Linked DNA regions of Caenorhabditis elegans. The protein of the gene in region 1 purifies or fractionates together with the protein of each later gene. This does not show direct contact. Each region holds a gene or a part of one and is shown in the gene's direction. Other genes may lie near its edges. The genes, in order: kle-2, C17H11.5, capg-2 and B0228.9.

The links.
Region 2: the proteins of kle-2 (region 1) and C17H11.5 fractionate together in Caenorhabditis elegans (co-fractionation; one large-scale study listed by BioGRID). This does not show direct contact.
Region 3: the proteins of kle-2 (region 1) and capg-2 purify together in Caenorhabditis elegans (affinity purification with western blotting; 2 studies listed by BioGRID, with this or other methods). This does not show direct contact.
Region 4: the proteins of kle-2 (region 1) and B0228.9 fractionate together in Caenorhabditis elegans (co-fractionation; one large-scale study listed by BioGRID). This does not show direct contact.

What each region holds. Positions count from the first base shown.
Region 1 is NC_003281.10:7,939,907-7,946,110, forward strand, and holds kle-2 (Condensin-2 complex subunit kle-2), read left to right. Parts: upstream 1-1,810; 5' UTR 1,811-1,816; coding exon 1,817-1,918; intron 1,919-1,992; coding exon 1,993-2,742; intron 2,743-2,791; coding exon 2,792-3,317; intron 3,318-3,650; coding exon 3,651-4,031; intron 4,032-4,081; coding exon 4,082-4,336; intron 4,337-4,430; coding exon 4,431-4,615; intron 4,616-5,134; coding exon 5,135-5,401; 3' UTR 5,402-5,687; downstream 5,688-6,204. Other genes in the region: C29E4.10 (Putative galactocerebrosidase), read left to right, coding at 1-147, 427-524, 573-820, 864-950; C29E4.12 (Protein FMC1 homolog), read left to right, coding at 1,248-1,465, 1,520-1,628; gsto-1 (Glutathione transferase omega-1), read right to left, coding at 5,689-5,948, 5,999-6,125. UniProt on the Caenorhabditis elegans protein: Regulatory subunit of the condensin II complex, a complex that seems to play a role in prophase chromosome condensation and in chromosome segregation in mitosis and in meiosis.
Region 2 is NC_003284.9:8,182,492-8,186,867, reverse strand, and holds C17H11.5 (Phage protein), read left to right. Parts: upstream 1-1,734; 5' UTR 1,735-1,751; coding exon 1,752-1,836; intron 1,837-3,268; coding exon 3,269-3,431; intron 3,432-3,476; coding exon 3,477-3,548; intron 3,549-3,598; coding exon 3,599-3,764; 3' UTR 3,765-3,860; downstream 3,861-4,376. Other genes in the region: C17H11.6 (RBR-type E3 ubiquitin transferase), read left to right, coding at 251-434, 898-1,231.
Region 3 is NC_003283.11:12,269,960-12,276,173, forward strand, and holds capg-2 (CAP-G condensin subunit), read left to right. Parts: upstream 1-1,913; 5' UTR 1,914-1,924; coding exon 1,925-2,229; intron 2,230-2,275; coding exon 2,276-2,986; intron 2,987-3,029; coding exon 3,030-3,411; intron 3,412-3,484; coding exon 3,485-3,949; intron 3,950-3,993; coding exon 3,994-4,421; intron 4,422-4,807; coding exon 4,808-5,549; 3' UTR 5,550-5,665; downstream 5,666-6,214. Other genes in the region: tsfm-1 (Elongation factor Ts, mitochondrial), read right to left, coding at 455-747, 794-1,221, 1,303-1,448, 1,507-1,590; bnc-1 (Basonuclin zinc finger protein homolog), read right to left, coding at 5,666-5,995.
Region 4 is NC_003280.10:7,761,537-7,765,681, reverse strand, and holds B0228.9 (uncharacterized protein), read left to right. Parts: upstream 1-2,012; coding exon 2,013-2,267; intron 2,268-2,310; coding exon 2,311-2,558; intron 2,559-2,606; coding exon 2,607-2,731; intron 2,732-2,778; coding exon 2,779-2,831; intron 2,832-2,879; coding exon 2,880-2,996; intron 2,997-3,042; coding exon 3,043-3,298; intron 3,299-3,342; coding exon 3,343-3,620; downstream 3,621-4,145. Other genes in the region: srh-39 (Serpentine Receptor, class H), read left to right, coding at 166-341, 388-533, 786-973, 1,016-1,243, 1,302-1,380, 1,564-1,745; B0228.8 (uncharacterized protein), read left to right, coding at 4,142-4,145.

The sequences.
Region 1 (6,204 bases):
AAATTATGAATTCGACGAGGAGCCAAAGTTTTGGATGCCACAAAAAGGATCATGGGTGGTACGAAATGGACGGGCGGTACAGAAAGTGACACGCCCATCAATTAGTTGGTGCACCTCACACATTCGAACTCCATATGCAGTTATGGCGTAAGAATTGATGACTTTGACCTATGAGGAACTACAGTATACCGTATTCCCTCTAATATTTTTACACCTCTTTTCTCAACTTTGGCAGCTCATATCTCAGTAGTAGTTTGTTCTATAGAAAAGTTGTCAACTGATAAAAATTTAGATAGATGTTTTTTCTGTAGTTTGTAGTTTGTTAATTATTTATATGTCCAAAAAGGAGATATGAGGTGTCAAAGTTGAGCAAAGGGGTGCAAAACTAATAGAGGAAATACGGTATACGGTATTCCTTCCATTTAGGTATCGAAAGAAGAATAGTATTCTAAACGCCGAGGTCAATATTCCAAAACACTCAACAGCTAAATCCATCATTCTAGGTATAAGGAGTAATTGTAGTGGTATGTAATTAGTGTTGTGATTCATATTAAAATCTATTACATTTTCAGGATGTGACATAGAAGTAATAAACTGTCGTGGAATATTTGTTGAGATTGAATTTTCAAATAAAAAAGTAACTATATTTTCCGATTTCGTTGACCGTTCAATAATTGCTGAATTCAAAGCACGAAGAAAAGTAGAATTTGGAAAGTTTTATAAATTCTCAATTCATTTACTGGACTCGCATCTCTTCATAAAATTCGGAAATCATCATGTGATGACTTCAGTGGAAATTCCAGAAGAACAATTAAATAAGGTTATTAAAATAATCAATTGAATTTCAAATATAATGTTTTCAGACAAATAATGACACTTTATTCGTGATTGGCACTGGAAATTTTGGCATCTCCGAATGGGATAATATTTCAACAGATTATTTTCACTGAGGCTGATTAATTACATTCAAAAAGTATTTAATATTGCTTGGGCATGTTTCTATTAAAATAAATGTACCATTTTATAATTTACCACATTATTGGAAAATGTCAAAATCAATTGCCACAAAAAACTAGATTCAAACTTCCGCGCAAATGGTACCGCAACGATGCTCCGCGTTTCGCTAAACAACGCGCGCCTCACGCGCGCAGTTTGAATTGAGAACGTTTTCCTGTTTTCTTTTTTTGTCTGAATTGTGTTATTGTGCTATTTATTATCCCTTTTTTGTACATTTTCAAAATTAAAGTATGGCCTCTGCTGTTGGAAAAGGAGTGACCGCTTTCAACACCATCAAAAACATCATTTCGGAACTGAAAAAGGTCGACAAAACATTCTCCCCGAATTCGGCACAATATAAATACCTCATGGAGCAAATGAAAGCCGACCAGGTTACAACAAGAAGATATTCAAAAGCCGAGAACGAGTCAGAGAGCGTTGCAAAACTCTATTTGAGCTATATTAAAGGGTTCGTTTGTTTTATGAGAATAAGAAAGTAATAATCAATATCCATTCATTTTAGAACCCGACAGCTTAATGAACTTCAAGAGAGATATAAGGGTGGCGAGAAGAGTGTTGAAGAGGCTGCTGCTATTGTTGGATTGAAACTTCCAGAACAAAAGAAACTTTAAAATACTTAAAATTGTTATTTCTTTCTCGAATAGATTAGATTCCTGTTTTCTTTTCAATCAAAATAAAATACTTCGTTTTTAAAATACTATTCAGGTTTTTTATAACTTCCTTATGGTTTTCGTACCATTCTATATCTTTTTTATAGTTAATCATCGCCAGAGCATTGGAATTGTTGTTTCAGGTACAAATGACTAGGAATGCTCCTCCAGGTCAAGAATCGACAGATTTAGCATGGCTCGTCACACCCGCAAAAGATCTTGTCGAGAACTTCTCAATCGACGTGTTGAAAGTAAGGATAATTTTTTTTCACGGTTGTATCTTTTCTTTTTCGGTAAATAAAATAAATAATTGCTCGACTTTCAGGCACTCGCCGGATACCTCGAGGTTATCAGACAAGAAAGTGAAGACACAGATAATCAGGTGGATGCAGCGACAACTTACAGATTGTTCGATTTTCAACGAGCATGCCGGATTATTCAAGGATCGTGTGCCGTATATGGTCGAAAAGTAGATCATGTCTATGAACTGACGATTTCAGTTGTGGATTTAGTCGAGAACAAAGGTCAAGATGATGGAAACACCGGCAGTAGACGAGGAGCTGGAAGACGGAAAAATTTTAATTTGGGATCGACGAATTACGACTTGGCTGATATCGACTCACTGAAACAGGAAGCTCTAGCAAATTTTGAGAAGACAGTAAAAGAAGAGAAAAAATCGATTGATGCAGTGAGAATGGTCGAGAATGCTGAAGTTATAGAGTCTCAATATGAGCGAAAAAGCTGTTTAGTAGCAAAGCCAACCCAGTTCATGTTCAAGCTCAATTACGGCCAGCTCAATCGTACTGATGAACAAATTTTGAATGCAAAATCTCGTCCTGATGTTATCGGAAAAGTAAAAGATTTTGAAATTAAAAAGTCGAAAGTTAAACACGATCAACAAATACTCTACTCCCATGATTGTTATCGTGGAAATTTAGACCAATTCACACTACCTGGTGCTCGTTGGATGCCAGATAATAAGGAATTGGCAGCTAATTTTGGTGTTGCTGATTTGGAAGTTGAGTTAGATTTGGAGCAAGAGCATGAGAAGATCAGTGCATATGGACCGTTTAAGGTAAGTGGTAATAATTCGATGAAACATTTTCAAAACTTGATTTCTTCAGGATCCTCTCTCTGGCCGTGAAGTTGTTCCACCTCCTCGTTGGTTCATAGAGCAAGAAGCAGTTCGTCAAAATCAAGAAATTCAATCTCGTGCCACATCGAGAGCCATCACAATTGCAGCTAAAACTCTTCGAGATTCTCAAGGCTTTGGATCTCAACCAACTCGTCTCTCACAACCATTTGTTGAACGACATCGACAGAGTAATCATTTGAATGATTTCTTGTCATTTGTGGAGGGAAGAGTTAATAAGAATCGCCCGAGCACTCATCTTACCACTGGCTTAGTTGATATGTTCGTTGATAACTTTGGATCTGTTATGCAAAACGATGAACCAAACACTAGTAGAAGACCTGATGAGAATTACGCGCCCATGGACTTTGATGATGATTTTGGTGGTGGAGGAGACGATGACGACGATGATTATATTCGAAATTTGTCCAGAAGGGATGAGAAGCGAGCACCGGCACCATGGGACGAGCTGGATAAAAATCATATTATTTGGTACACGGGAGACGAGAATCTGCCAGGTATTTGTTGAATTAATGGGATTCTTTCGGTATTTTTTAGATTATATATATATATGAGCCGTGGACCGCACCTCCGGCGCGGCCCCCGACTTCTGGAGCTGAAAACCAATTTTTCTGAAACTACCGTAATCATACAGTACTCCTACCGTAATCATACAGTACTCCTACCGTACCACCATTGTACCACTACAGTACCCCGACTATATCCCTACACTAACCCCAACTCACTATCCCTCCAGAAGCTAAAACTTCGCAGACTACAAAGACTACATAGACTACAAGCTATGGACAAACGGAATAAGCGCTTTATATATAGTAAATGATATATTTCAGTCGTTAGCAAGCCGGTAAAAAAGATCACGAAATTCCAACCAAAACCCGCTGAAATGTTGGCTAGGAAGCAACGACGTGAGGAAAAGATCAATAAGTCTCGACGAGACGAGTTCATGGAAACTCACGACTATCTGCAGGATTACTACTATTGGAGAAGTGCGGCTCGTATAAATCCGATTAAGGACTGGAAGATAGAATCACTTCGTACTGCTATTCTAGCCGAGAAGAAACGAAGAATCAAGGAAAAGACTGCAAAAATCCGAGAAGCTCGTATCCAGAATATGCAGAGAAAACGGACAGCTCGTGTGATACCCGTGGAGCAATTTGAACCGGTAACAGAGGATATTCCAACGTCTAATAGAAGAACCCTCGGAGCTGAATGTAAGAAATTTCAATTTTATGAAATTTAAACTGAATTATATTTTTTCCAGATGACGACGTAGTCGATGAAGATCTTGCTGCCGAAGTCGAGCTCTCAATGTTTGGAGGTGGGTTCGATGACGACGAAGAAGACGTGCGGCCACGTGGTGAACGGCCTCCTATGGCTCCAAACAACCTAGAATTCGATGCTCTTCAAACAGATTTTGATATTCCGCCTGCTGAATATGTTCCATTAAGATTCGAGGATATTGATGATGCCGAACTGAACAGTGTTATCAATTTACCTGGAAATTTGCTCATCGACAGTAAGTTATTTGCAAAATTTTATAATAAAATTTTAAAATTAATACTTTGAAATTGTACTCTCTCAAGTCTATCAAGTAAATTTTCTATTTACAGAAGCTTTACCATTGCTCAAGAAGTTTGCTGAAAATCGAACAGATCGCGAACAAATGGCTTACGAGATGGCTAAAGCATATGAAGATGTGGATGTTGCCGTGTCAACTCTACAAGAACATGTTGACAAATGGCATTCTCGAATGGAACCAATCCTCGAAGAAGGAGAAACTCGAAAAGAGTATGATGTATGTTTTAGAGTATTTAATCTTAAAGGTGGAGTAGTGCCAGTGGGGATTTTGTCTAAATACACTTATAGTGATTCAAAACAACCGAATATCATAATAAAACACTCCAAAAAGTTTTAGATTTTTCATAATTTCCGGTCAAAGTTTTGGCAAATTGCCAAAATTTTGAAAAATATGAGCTTTTGAGGTTATTTAAAGAAATGTCGTATGTTTCGACCCCTACAATGTTTTAATACAATTAATTTAAACAAAATTAAAACAATAAAAAATGTAATAAATTTTTTTGGTCGACTTCCAAACATATGAGTGGCAAAAACTGAGTAATTGCCAGTTTTTGACAGTAAATAAAAAAATTTTCAAAAGTTTTATCATGATATTTGGTCATTTTGGAACCAAAGGAGTGGTTTTTAACAATTTCCCCACTGGCGCTACTCCACCTTTAATATTCTGGTCAACCACAGTAATTTGAAAAGTCAAAATGTCTAAATGTTTGAATTTCTCAATTATAATAATTTTCAGGTTCACGCAGTTGGTCGTGCTGTCATTGGCCAATACGATATTGAAGGTGGCACGAAACGTTTACTAGATTTGGTTATGGATCGTCCATGGTACGAAATCAGTCGATACTTCCTTTCGTGCCTCTTTATGTGTAATGTCGGAAATGTCATGGTCAGCGAGGACATGGAACTGCCACTCGAGGAAAGAATCAACTCGATGAAAATCACACTACTCAAAAGAGATATGCATTGTGAAATGTTCAAGGAGGCTGGCGCTCTTGATGCCTAATTTATAATTATTGTTTTTTTTGCATTAAATCTCCCGAAAACCATCTTAATTTATTTAAACATTCCTCATTGTCTCTACTTGTATCTCGATTTCTGGCTATACTTTCATTTTACTGTATCAATTAATTAACTTCTAGATGCCAAGTATTTTTCTTCTGTTCGTTATGGTACTTTACTGACTGTACAATAACTTTTTTTCCGACGAATTACCACTATTTCTTTGATTGTTTTTTAATTACGTCCTTCATTTTTTATTCAATCTTAAAAATAAATCGACTGGTTTTAATATCAAAGGCCCAAATCATAATTCAATTCCTGGTGCGTGGCATATGCGTTCATGAATGCAGCGCCATGTTCCAAAGATTGGGTGACGGATTGAACAACATCTGAAGAAATCATTTTCTGGAACCATTTTGTCAATTTAGGATATTCTTCTTCTCCTGGGAATTCAATTGTTGGTAAATCGACAACTCCATCCAAACTAGCTGACCACCAAATTTTCTCAAAAAATGGAAATGATAAGTAGTCTGGATAACCTGGTTGAGATCCTGAATAGTTTGAATTTGGTCAAAAAATTGTATCGATTAATTGAACTCACCAGCATAAAAATCATTGGCCAAGAGATTTTCAGCTTGTTTCAAAACTTCAAAAACTTTTCGCTGCTTTTCATCTTTCAAAGTTCGGTCTCGCATGACGGCGAAGAGCAATGGAACTGCATGGGCTACCTGAATTGCTTATTTAAAACAAAATAGTTTAGAAAATAGAAAAATTCAAGATCATATTTGAATTTCCTCCAAAATGAAT
Region 2 (4,376 bases), on another chromosome or scaffold:
ACAAACCTAATCAAACTTTCTCCGTTCTCTTTGAATTGTTTTTCTAGTTAATTAAAATTTTTGTTGTTCCGCCATTCTGTTCTATTTTAACAAAATTATGTTAAATTGAAATTTTTTATTCTTGTGAGCTACATAAAATCGCAATGCCGCAGTTGAGTTCGCGTAACAAACTTGAAATGAGAATGCATTGAAAAATATATATAAAGTGTACCAAATCTAATTATTTACCCAACCCCTTCAAATTTTGAAGAGCGCGACGACGATGGGCTTCTTTTCACCGAAGAAGGTGCTGCGTTGCTGATCAATTCACCACCTGCAATGCGCAGCTCTGGAAGTGTGAATATCGATCCCATCGATTTATTCAAAATTCGTAGCTGGCTTGATAATATGAAGCAAATGGTAGCCACTGACGCACCTCAAGAGACACCTTATGAGTGAGTTGCGAAAATTTGAATGTTAAATGTTGTAGGAGGAAGTTTTCGAGAATAAGATGTTTGTGAAAAAAGTGTTATACTGAAATATGAAGTATTATAATCACAAATTTCGATCATTTCAAGCAACAGTTTTTTTAAAACGAATTTTAGCTATTGATTTTTTTGGATTTTAAACAAAAATATCAGAAATTCAGTAGATTTTATGTTGAAATGTGCAAAAAAACCTACAGGCGGAGTGTAATATTGATTTTTTAATGCGATCACTGTAAATGAATTTTGGAAAGGTAATATTTTTAAAAAACGTTTTTCGATTTAATTTGCAGTACTTTTCTTGTACATCATCTTCAAAATACATTTAGTGAAAGCAAGAGCAAAGGTGAAAATAAGTAAAAATGTTTAACTTGAACATTTTTTTCTCCGCTATTGCATTCTTTAGTCTAAAATTATTTGAAAGTGTTTCTAGACCTTCAACGCGACCAAGTAGCAAGCTCCGAAGATCAGGAAGCGGGAAGAGTGTGCATACAGTAGCCACGTTCCCAGTCAACCTCAACACCGGTAACACGGTGAACAGGCAGGGACTCTCGAATTTGTCGAAACCAGAAATTGTTCAAAATATGAGCAACGCTCCTTCGGAGGCTGGAATTACTGTCGCCGCGCCACGTAGCCCGACAGAACTTGAGGCGAACGGTGAGAATGCTGGCGATGACAGTGTGTCGACAAGTTCTTCATCCAGAAGTCAGAAAAAAAAGAAGCGACGTTTTGGAATATTCAGTAATTGGTTCAACAAAACGAAATAATAACATCGCGTTCTTTTTTTTCATTCTGTATAAAAAACATCACTCTATGTCATTTATGTTCCTTCCAGTTGTCTCAACGTGCTTCAACTAGTCATTTCTTCTCATAACCCTGCAATTTTCTCCCTTTCCCCATCTTTTCCATCTTTTCCATTCCAAATTTTCTCCTTATTGTCCAATAACAAAAACATCAACAACAACTCTATGCGGTATTTTTTTCGTACAGTACTTTTTCTCCCTCTTTACTGCTAGCCACGACGTGTGTTTATGTTGTGATTGCCAAAAAGTGTTTCAAAGTCAATCTCGTCAATTTCTCATGTTAACCTGTTTACACTTGTTTCAATTTTTCTTGTCTGACAGTATTGGAATCCAAATTCAAATACAAGTCATCATCTCTTCATTACATTCATTTTTTAATGTTCTCTATATTTTTTTGTAAAATATATTGATTTTAATTGAAAACTTAATTTTGTTTAGTTCTCTCTTAACAATGTTACAAGGTTTTCAGACTGTATAGGCAACGATGACTGGATTTGTTAAACTACTGACCGAAAAAGCAAAAATAGCTATGAGACATCTAAAAGAGTGCGATTTAGATGCACCATGCTGTAAGTTTTAGTATTCATGAACAAAAGTGGTTTTTCTGCATTCAAAACTATTTTTCAAAAAACGAAATCAATTATAATTCCAAAAAAAAAACAGTAAATGAAACATTCTACCTTTTTCAAAATGTTTTTTTTCATAATTTTTATTGGAAATTTCAATATTTTTGTACAAAGCAAACGTTATTTGTAAACACTTGAATAATGATCGCAATCGTTTGAAATTTATGGGCTTATTCAAGTAATGTAGCAAAATGTATTTAAATACATTTGTGACGTCACAAATGTATTTAAATACATGTTTTTATATACTTGAATACAGTTGTGACGTAATTTTTCTACACTTTTTAATTTTCCGACATTACTTGAATAACCCCATTAGAAGGAATGAAAATACTTGAAAAAATTCTTTCACGAGGTCAGTCCATTTTTTCCAAGTTTCAATAAAAAATGATGTTTTCTCATCCAAAAATAAATAATTTATCTACATTACATTTGAAAGACTGTAAAAAAATTCGAGGAAGTTCAAGAAAATTTGACCGAAAAACGCAAAAAAGCCCACATGGGAGGAATTTTATTTATTCATTTATTTATTCATATTTATCCTTATGATGAGTTTTTTGTTCATTTTCTATGTAACGGTTAGAAAATTGAAACATAAATTTAAATCGGCGGCAACGATATAACGCACTGAATTGGCCATCAATGAAAATTACACATTTTTACTGTTTTGTGTCTTCGCGTCGATCAGGATTCAGCGCGTAGTATCGTTGCCGCCAATTTAAATTTATTTTTCAATTTTTCAACCGTAGACTTAAAAAACAAACCAAAAAATGGGCGGAAATAGCCAACCGTCACGAAGTTCTAAAATAGGCCCCACCCCATGCGGGCTTTTTTCCGTTTATCAGTCAAGTTTTCTCGTACTTCCTCGAATTATTTAACTTCCCCTCATATTCTTTCTAATATGGCCGAAAACTAAAATTTAAGACAAATAACCTTCAATTGATAGGCTTCCTTTAGATACAAAATAAGTGCAATATAAGAACAATATAATTTGTTTTTCAAAAGAGCCGAAATAGTATGTCGCAAAGAGGTTTAACGGAAAACAATGTTTTGTTGGCAGAGTTTTGAGATCAAAAAGTGGAAAAAAACTGATAAAATAAAACAAAAGTTTCCTTGACCTAATAAAAAAGTTAAAAAATTTTTTGAAGTTCAATGAAGTTTAGAACAAAAGTCAATTTTAAGTTTTTATTGAGTCTACCTAAAAATTTTCGACATTTTTAGGTCGGTCCAAATTTTTTAAAGAAAAATCTCTCAATTCGAAACCTAGAGGAATTTGAAACATCAGATATATGAGATTTCTCTGTATGCTAGTATTTGTGATATTAGAAAAATACATTTGAAATACTTTCTTTAATACATAGTTTTTCTGGTTCAGTCTGCAGTCACCATCCAGCCGAGACATACGTCTTTCCTGATCAGTACACTCTCAACAAACTGATGAACGGTGAAGCTCCGCCAGGTCCCATACCACGAAATAAATTGAACGACTGGGTTGGAGTTCCTCCGGTATGCCCGGAAAACGATGATGGTGCTATTATGTGAATTGCAATGCCGTATCGTTATTTCATATTCTTAGTTTTCAGAGAATTTTCGGTTGCAATGGAAACCTGTAGATATGATTACATGACCATCAAGTATTGGCTCGACTACCAGAGGTCACCTAACATTTTGAACTATTGTTTTCTGAACTCTAGTTCATTTTCAGAATTTCCATTGCCGCAATGAAAGTGTACGATAGAATGAAACGAGAAAAATATAATCGACCATGTAACGTAGTAATACGGTTCATTTGCCGGGCTATCAGATTACTCTTTGGAATCGAGAACAAGAAGCGCTTTGATGGAGCTCCATTAATTCGAAAGGAAATCTAAACGATCATTTAAACACATTTCAACACATTACTGTGTTAGTTCTATAATTCAATGCTCCGAACATTGTTTTTTTACAAATAAAATATTTTGTAAATTTTTCAAATTAATTTTTTCAACACATTGAAACATTTCTTGATTAAATTTGTGAGTACAAGTGCTGAAAAATCAGAAACTTTAGCCCTGTGCTAAGAGTGTTAAATTTAATTTTTGTTTAACAGTAAGTGATCCAAAAATTTTCGGTATTGGGAAACTTATGCATTTGCCGGTTTCTAAAAATATCAGATCTTGACGATCTTCTGCAATTCTCAGACTAAGTTATGCCTCAAAAAAATAAAAATATTAGAGCGAGCAACAAGTGTTTTGTATTTTCTCAGTTTTCATCTTTTCTCAAATTTTTTATGTGGTAAAGCAATCCCCGAAACTTCGTTCGAACAACATTCCCTTTTTTTTTATTTTTTTAAGAACTCAGCAGTATGAGACACTCTTATAGTAGTAGTAGTAGTAGTAAAGTACTAACTTCACAATGTCATAAAATCCTCGGCACCTCTTTTTTACCAACCGGTGTAATACAGTGCGTCCAACTTCTATAGCATCCCCCTCTAATTTGGCAGT
Region 3 (6,214 bases), on another chromosome or scaffold:
TAAGAACGATACAATTTAGAACAATATCGCATGTTTCAACAAAGAGCTCAGTGATACTACAGTACACCTACATCACCAATTACTCCTACAGTACCAATACAGTACCCCAAAAATATATATGTTTTCTGAGTGTTCTCAGCAGTTTTCTCGTATTTTTACTATATTACAACAATTGTTTTAAATTTTCGCGGATTGTGACCTTAAAATACATTTGATTTCGACAGAAATCCGAGTGACCATGAATTTCTGAAATAAAATAAATGCATTTTAATCGTCTTCTTGTTCAATTGTTTTCCACGGAGGAATGTTCTGAAAATTGCAAATGTTTATTTTTTAAACTTTAAATTCAATTTATATGTCGATAAATTTATTTATCGATTAACAAAACAGAGAAACAAAAGCATTCTAAAAACTAATAAGGCATGAAAATAAAGTTACTACCACTTTTATCTAATTATTCGCTTCCAAGCTCTACACGAACAAAATCGAGAATGTTAGCATTGTGGGATTTTAGGTACTCATGAACAGATTGAGATGGATTCAACATGAAGGCTTGGCGGAGAAGAGCAGTTTCCGATTCATCAATATTAGTTACAACAACTGGATCAGCATTTGGATCATGCCCTTCTTGACTACGAAGCCCTTCTTGAGTTTTCACAGATTCTGCAGCTTCGCCGAGGGATTCCGGGGACATTCCGATAATGTGCTGGCATATCTGTCCGGCAAGTTGCTGACTACTGATTGACCCTGTAAATGTTAAGACTTAATTTTTTACTTTATTTCTTTGTTTCACCTGGACTCGATTGATTTAGAGCGATGAGTGAAATGAACCGTCCCATCGGGATATCATCAGTTCCATCTTTAGGATGTGAAGCTCCAAACAAAGTTGTTCCTTCGGGAGCTTTAAAAGCCTTAACTCTTCTCACTGTCATGTTCTCACCAAGCTTTCCGATTGAAAGGGAGAGCACTTCACGCATATTTTTTCCGTCGGAATCGGTCAGATCCCCAAGATCATAGGTGAATTCTTGAAGTTTTGAGCCGCTCGATATAGATTGTGGCTTAGCTTTTGCGAGAACAGAGTTGGAGATGTTTGACAACAAATCCTTGAAAGCTCCAGATCGCGCCACAAAATCAGTTTCACAACTGAGTTCTACCACAGCTGCTGTTGAGTTGTCCGTGACTACAGATACAAGACCATTCGATGTTACACGAGTTCCAAGTCTGGAATATTCTATAACTATTAAAATAATTCCTTGTGAAGTCAACATTCCAAATTAAAAAAATTTCAAAATAAACACTTACTTTGCCGCTTTGGCCCATCCTTCCTTCGCTGCAGCTTCTTTCAACCATTTTACAGCACTATCCATATCATTTTCGCCAAACTGAATAAGTGCTTTACGACAATTCACATAACTATAACCAGTCTTTTTTCGAAGAGCCATTAGAGCCTGAAAAACAATTATTTTTTATTTTTTAAAATTAATTAGGGTTCCTAGATTTTAATACCTCTTTAGAGACTTTCTTTTCGGCCTCAGCCAAGTTTCGACTAGTCGTTGATAGTAGACGTACAAATGGAGCTCTAGCAAACATTTCTAAAATTGGAAACTTTAGTTTTCAGTCAATATTGATAATTATTTTAAGAGAATAAAGCAAATTATGCAATTTTCTGGGCATTTTTTGCATTAAAAAATGAAAAGGCAAGTGCGCCCCAATGAGAAAGACGGCCGCGCGAAAGAATTCGTTTTGAACATAACAAGGAAAATGTGTTTCTTTTTTTTTAATTGCGAGGTAAATTATATTATTGAATTATTTTATTGATTATTTATAATTATTTTTAGGTGAAAACTTTAATACTATTATTTTTTGCTATTTTTTTGTTGAAATAAATTCTATAATTCCATAGAAATTTTCAGTAAAGAGATCAATGCCGAAGAGCAATCCGGTAACACCTAACAAACAACCATCAGAAGACTGGAATGAGTTACTCACAGAGTTCCGTGGAAAAGGAGGTCGGGCTCTTCAGAAAACATTCATCAGAAAATTGTGGGCAGTTCAAGAAGATATTATTGCCAATGCAAATCCATCGACTCTTCGGTGTATTTTCTTCGCACCAGCCTTGTTGATTTGTCCGGAAGGTATAAAATTATCAGCTGAAATTCTCCCAAAAATTGGTGTTGGAAATGGACTGATACTACTCGAGAAGTTAATACTAAAGTTCAATCTCACCGAGTAAAGTTTATACGCTGAAGAATTCCATTTATATATATTTTTGCAGCACTGAATGTCAAAGGTATGGTGAAGTATTCGTCACAGCTTGGAGAAATGCATATCAGGAGGCTAACTTTGATTTGACAGAGGAATTGGAGACCGATGTGATCAGTGTCATGTGTCAGCATGCATTATATGCTCACAGGCCTACCTGCACTAAATTTCAAAATGTGATTGCCGCATTTGCACACGCGAAAAAACTGGACAAAAGTGTAGATGAAATGGTGACAAGGCTTCTCAATGGATGTCTTTACCGAGCGCTGGACGCTCCAAATTACATTGTACAGTCATCAGCTGCAGAAGTATTTTTCAATTTTTACCCACTAATTGGCGAGGATACTGAAGACATGGATAGGATAATGGAAAACCAACATCGATATATGATGGACTTATTACGTAGTGATGTTATTTCCATTCGAAGCGAAGCCACGAAACATGTCTTGAAGGCAATCAGCGAATTCTGGCTTCTTATTCCAAAAAATATCGTGAAGGAACTCATGGGATACATCATTGATACAGTCGCGAAAGACACTGTTGTCAGCGTCCGCGTCGCCGTTTTTGAAGGTCTTAATGAAATGGCATTTGTTCCGGCATGTCTCACAGCATTCGAATATGGATTGAAATGTGCCGTTGATCCAGCACTACAGGATAAATCTGAACGAGTTCGTCTTGCTGCTTACCAAATAATTTCTCGTCTGAAGAATCATAAATTTATTAGGTAAAATGAACCCAAATCAACAAACTAAAAAATAAATTTTCAGTGTGTTCGATATCATTACTCGAGATGATGCCATTGCGAAACTCGATCTGGAAAACGTAGAGACCTGCCGCCGTCAACTGATTCCAATTATGCATATTTGTCTTCCTATCTCGAAAAGTCTGGATGAAGCATACTATCGTCCTCGTGTCAACTACATGTTAGGAAAAAGTCGATTGGCTCTTTTGAGTTACTTCCGATTGCTTGGCCCAATGAAAATCATTGATGCATCCCAAGCATCCAAACTTATCGAAATGTTTATAACCTGGGCATATCGTTATCTTCGTAAAAAGGATGGCCCTCCATTACCAGAGACTGCCGAAGGATACAAAAAAGCGAGAGCTTATCTTGAGTGTGCTCTCATTCTGTACATGTCATGCAAAGGAGTTAGTTTTCTATTTCTCAAATTTAAAATTGAAGACCTTTTTTAAAACATTATAAACTTCTAAACTTTTTCAGATGCTGATGTCAGATGGCGATGGAACTTCAAAAGCGAAATGTGATCAAATATTTGGAAAAGTTGTCAAGGAAATATTTGAAAAATACGCCAACACTCCTATTCTCGGAACTGCGACAGCAATCAGCAGTGTCATTCCTAAAGATTACCTTAAATCAATTGCTAATGATGTTCTCGCAAGACTGGAAGACGACGATGTTCCTCCAGAAGCAGTTGAGCCGTTTCTTGAATCTGCAATTCATTTCAACCCGGATTCTGTTTTTGATTCATTCGATAGTGGGCTTAATGTTCTTGTAAATTTGTATGGAACGAAACAGAGTAAGAAGAAACGACGTGAATTGGAGGATCCAGAAGATGTACTGATTATGACGTTGAACCGTCTCAAATATTTGCTACAGAGTCACAGTACATCAAATCTTATTGCAATGAAAGATGAATACCGAACTAAAGTCTTGGATTTGTTGAAGGTTTGTGTATTAGTTCATTATTGAAACAATAATATTATATTTAGAAAATTGATCTAATTCGAGAAGGAATTGAAATTAGGCTTGCAAAAGAAGAAGGCCAGGAGCACACTCTCAGTGATGATGTTCTTCTGTCGATACTCGAATTTAGATTCATTTTGCCCTTTTTCGCTGCAACTAATGGATCTGAAGATGCTGCGGATCGTAACCAAACTATCGAGTCAATGAAAAACCTTCTTCTTTGGTTTGAAAAAAATATTTCAAGTCAAATGGCGACTTTTGGTGAACACAATCAAGATTTTCTCATTCAATTAACAAGTACATTCTTGAATTGTGTAAACGTGTCACTATCTGCGTATGATTTCAAAACGAGACCTGTCGAATTTGAAGATGAGGAAGATAACGAGAATCGGGATCCAAGAGAAGAAAATGATGCAGCGAAAGATCAGGCTACGGTAGCAGAAGTTATAAGCAGGTAGGGTCATACGAAAGACTTAATTCTTTAGAAATGAAATATATTTATTAAGAAAGGGATTTAAATATGGAGCAACGCCAGTGGAAAATTGCTAACAACGATTCCCATACAAAAATGGTCGAATATCATAAAAAAATTTTTTTTTAAATAAGATTGTCTTAAATCTTCATTAATATCCTTTTCACTATTTAATAATTATGGAAGCCAAAAAATGGGTTTCTCTTGAACTAAAAATTTTGAAGAACTTAAAAATCTTCGGTGTATTTAGACGATATGCCCACTGTCGCTACTCGGTATTTAACCACAGGTTTTCATTTCTTGATAGAATAACAGTGAAGTTATTCTAAATGTCTTATAAGACGTCATATATCATTTTTATTTTTCAGAATCGTCAAGTCCTTCTGTAATAGTTCCACACCTTTTGAAATCTTCCGACCAGCTCTTCGAGTGGGCACAACGCTGTGCGACGAATCTTATTCTGAAGTGCACCACGAAATGGCACTTCTTCTCAGATTTATTCCAAAATGGATGAATAAGCAATGTGATTTGATGGAAGATGATGAAGAGAACATTTTTAAAAATCATCGAGAAATTGTGGAATCTTTACGCCAATTTCACAAGAGAGTTTCTGAAACTGATTATTGGGACGAAGATTCAGCTAAACGTATGATGCATCACTTTATGTTATTCTCAATTGTATCAGCTTCTTCGAAAAATGACGACGAGGCATATGATGATCCACGCGATGAAGATTATAAACCACCACACTTCATTTCTCTTGCACTAATCAAGTTCATTCTCAAAGAAAAATCGCTAACTGAAGACATTATTGAAGAAATATCAACCAATTATATTCCCGAAGACAGCAAGTATTTTACGGCAGAAGAAGGTGAACTGAAAACTGATGAAAAACTGTCTAAACTAGCAGCACTGTCACAACTTCTACGAATTCTCGAACGATATTCAAAATTCCATGGAAAGCTAATCAAAGAAGCCATCGACAAATGCACTACAAGAGTGCTGGATTGCTTCGCGAATGCCTCAGATCTGAATACTGTAGCCCATCACATTTTGAACAGTCTTTCTTCTCTTCTTGATGTCCAACTTCCAGATGAGAACAGACTCTAACCCTATTAATCTCTATATATAATTCTTTTATTTGATCTCATTGACGTTCTATATTTTTCTGCTTTATTGTTTTTTCTTTGTAAAAGTATTTTCCTGTTTTAGTTATTAACAATGTTTTAAACAAGATTCAATGATAAATCCAGCGGATGATCTTTTCCAAGAAGAAACCGGGTCGGCCAAAATGTATCCAAACTAGTCTTCATGGAAAGTCCTGAACCAGTTAAGGTTAGTGACTCGGGCATGTGCAATTTTGGGTTGTTGTTCGAACTATGACGGTTACGGCTTCTTCGGCTGCTAAATTGTTTCCCGCAACCCGTTACGGTGCATGTATGCATTTCGCGAAGATGTACTGCTGATGTATGGATTTTGAGTGCTCCCTTGTCACAAAATGATTTCGAACAGATGTCACAGGCAACACGACGTTTCAGTTTTAGAAGTGTCGACGTCTGAAAATTTAGGTTTTAGCGGTTAATTAGTGTCTGTAGTAGTTTCTCTCTGAATTACAGAATTCCGAATATAACCGTAAAAAATTCCAAAATTTTTTATGAGTAATTTCGTGAAAATTCGACACTTTGGTTTAAAGGCACATGATGGTTTTCTGAGTGGGTCCTGCCAAGATCTCAAATTATGGCTTTTAGAGATACAGTAACCCATCCCGTTGTTAC
Region 4 (4,145 bases), on another chromosome or scaffold:
AACCAGAAGAAAATTCTACAAAACCAGCAAAAAAATCGCCTGACTTATTATGCATTTTATGCTTCAACTATCTCATCCATCTATACTACATTTTTCTGTCACAAATTTCACATCTGCTATAAATATCTGATTCTTCGTTTACTTTTTTTTGTTCGATCAACCACAATGGATTGCAAACAAGAAGTTTCTTTGCTGGAGAATCCTGTAATTTTTAGAAATTTCTGTTTTTTTCTCACTATTCTGGAACTTTTCCCTACAAGCTACGCAATGTATCTTTTGATTTATCATTCACCAACTCAAATGAAGGATATGAAACGGTGTTTAATAAACTTGGCATTTTGGTAAGAAAATCTGAATACTTCAAACCAATTTAATTCCAAATCACAGGACAAGAGCTATGGATTTGATGTATTCGTTTCTATTAATTCCTTATTTTTTCATTCCAACTCTGGTAGTGCTTCCAGTTGGATTATTTAGTTTAATTGGGTTGAAAACAGAAATTCAACTGGTAGTGCTTGTGATAATCATAGCAGGTGAATTGAAAATTAAGTAAAATAGTTGCGGCATATTGCCGAAAAAAGCTAAAACTAAGTTTTGCCCGAGTTTTGACAATTTTTGATCTAAGATAATATTCTTGGGTCAAGTTTGGTGAAGAAACTATAGCGCCAAATTTCGAGATTTCTTTTCTATTTTTCATTTCCATTTTTCAGCAACAAGTGTGAAACAAGTAGAAAAATTGTTTCAAAAATTAAACTCCATGATCTATAACGTTAAGGACTTTTCAGGTCTTGGTTCGGCAGTTGTGATGATTTTTGAAAATCGTTTCAATGCTATGTGTCCACCATATTTTCGTTTTAAAATGAATAAAAGACGAGAATACCATTGCATAATGTTTGTTATAAGTTTTTCACTACTTATATCTTCATTTTTGAGACTTGAAGATCAGAATTCGGCTAAAAATTCTTACGTCAATGTAAGATCGCTCATTTTGTAAAGTATCATTCAAGAATTTTAGTACTTTCTCTGTCCAATTCCGGAGTTTTTCACAACTGCATTTTCCTTTAAGCCGGTTTCAAATACAATGTTAATTACTACAGTCTTACTATTTTCTCTAGTGATTCTTATTCAAGTTATATTTTTCACAGGATTTAGTTTTTATTTTTTATTTTCAATTGAAAGAAGTAAAATGTCTTCAGCAACGAGAAAACTTCAACTTAAATTCTTTTATACGACGTGGCTACAGGTGACACTTTTCATTTTCTTTTGTCAATAGAAACTAGACAATCAAAATTTATTTTCAGATGTTAACTCATCTTGCTGTTATAATATTACCAATGGGATATACATTCTTCTCATTTCTACTCCTTTATAGAAACCAAGGTAAGCAAAGCTTTCAGATACTTACTTACTTATGATCACACCTTTCCGAACTTCTGAATCCTTCGTTAGGGTAGACCATAGTTCTATGTCCCGTTTGGCTGCGTCATTTTTAATAATCTATTTTCCCGAAGAACCATTCTAATTGTAAGATGAGTCGTTGGATGAGAAGGACTAAATTTTCAGTTTTGGTAAATATTTCCACAATAATTATCAGTCTCCATGGATCGATAACATCAATTTCAACAATAGCAATCAACCGCCCTTTTCGTAACAGATTCAAGATGTGGTTATTCCCGAAGAGATTCAAAAAGCGGAGAAGTAGTACGAACCTCAATGTTTTGGCTGTTTCCTCAAGCTGGCTGTAATATTTATTCCATTTTTTTAATGTTCATTTGTAAAAATGCAATTCTTTTCCTTCAATTCATATTGCAAATCGAAATCTAAACCTATATTTTAAATTAAAAACTTTAATCGAATCAGGAGAGCTCCATAAAAGCTCCGTTTCAATTTCCCTGTCAGTTTAAAATGAATATTCTTATATTCACACTTTTAATTTTGCTATAACATTTGAATTCGATGATTATGACTTGGACTGGTTTGATCCAATTGATCAAAACAATACAAGATCCTTTATGCAAAGTGTCACACCTCCACCAACTCAGCAAGGGAAACCTGATCCAACAAATTCTGACATGATGATGAAACGATTTCAAGAGGATATGGTTGGCATTCTTGATGGAAGAAGTCGTGCACATTTTGATGATTTAGCTAACTATTTCCATTCAAAAATTCGAATATGTACTTGTTTTGAGCCTGGCCGAAGCTTATCCGTTCCAGAGTTTCAACATGTATTGACATTTATCTCTGGTTACTATCAACATTTAACTGTAAGAATAGTTTCAGATTTATATGGAATTATTGGTTTTACAGGAAGTTAGATCGGACAGATGGACAGATCATCCAAACTATATAAATGGAATTTTTACGTATACAGCAATGGGTTCAGACAGGAAAAACTCAGATGGGAAGTGGACCTACGAAGCTTCAATGGATTGGAATCAGAATAAATTTTTGATTGAATACATTTGGTTTCCTTACAATTGTTCTGTATTTCCTGTAAAAGATCCATCAGAGCCGTTGGAGGATGTTGATAACTATTTAGAACGAGTTCGAACAAAGTGAGCGTTCGTATTGAAAGTTCAAATTTTAAAGCTGAACATTTTTAGATTATCAAGCGGATTATTCTTACCTGATGGAGTTGATCAAACTTTGCAAAACTTTGAAGAATTTGGGGATTGGATAACAGATGATGCGATTATTGTAGTTTGTGATGAACAAAAAATGGATAAAAGTACGTTGTAGAGACAACGAAATAATTAAGTTCACTTTATTTTGCAGATGAGTTTATAAAATATATGAGTACTAGATATCATCATATTCGAAAATATTCGGTAAATTTTCAACTTTCAGTTTAATTTTCATTTAAGATTACTATTCAGAACAATCAATTTGATCATGTAAAAAATAATCAAGATTTTGAAATAACTTTCTCTACGACTTGGACAGCAGACAATACTACACAATTCCGGGACACATATATTTTCCGGGTTAAAAAGGTAAATTTATTAATGCTTTCCGACACTTTAATACATGAATTTTCAGGCAGAAGATTATTTCCCGGAAAATGATCGTTTGTACCTTCTATGGAAAATTTACTGGGTTACAAAGAGATGCACTGTAGATGTGACACAGTACCCTGCAGTTCTAGATGGATCTGTCATACTGGGAGAAGTGAATAAAAGATTTTGTGGAATGATTGATGGTGAAAATTGGGATGTGTATCAATCATTCTTGGACCTATTTGATCCAAATGATACTAAATGGGGCTCTTGTGTTGGAAAAAGAGAGCAGAAATATGGTTTGCTGACAACTGAAAGTTATTTTTAAATGCAAGAAATTCAGATAAAATCCGTGAATACATGAATAAAGTGGTTGCAAGGTATGCAAAATGTGTAGTCTCTGAAGTTAGAATTCGTAACCTCGTGCATGCTGATTTCTCAACAACGTTTCTTCTCAGTCGAGCAAATGAAATTCAGGAGCAAGAGGAGTTGGATGTGGGATTTGTTGGATACAAGAATAAAAATGGACATTGGAAAATTAATCGAATGTATTTTGAATGTGAAGAGAGCAAAAAGAGAAAGTTTATGGATAATCTTTTAAATGTTCGTCTTAAATGTTGACATAATTTTTTTTATTAATAAATGTTGGAATATATTCAGAGATTCCAAAAATTAATGAAGTAAAAAGAAGGCAGATTAAAAATTGGTTATCAAGTACTAAACATTTTTTCTGCGATTTTTGTTTTCATAAAATACATTGCTTAATTAGAAAATGTGTACTTTTAGAAAAACCTCAAAAGTTTTAGAACTGACGTATTCTAAAATCTCAAAATCAGTCTTTCAGTCATTTGAAAAATGCCTTTATTTCCGATATGAACTGTTTTATTCGTATAGTTTTGAGACGTCATATTTTTAAGTCTGACAAGCATCACAACATGAATAAATTAAATTAAATTAATCGGTTTTTCAAATTTTGTCATTGATATCAATGTATTCTTTATTCAGCAACAAAAAAGAAAACAAACTACAAAAGATACGGTATACATTTTGTTGCTGTTAGCTGAAAACCAAACTTTGTAAATCGAATTAAACCGATATTTATTTATATGCAGTTTCCTACATTTTTTGGAGCTGTTTTGGAAATGC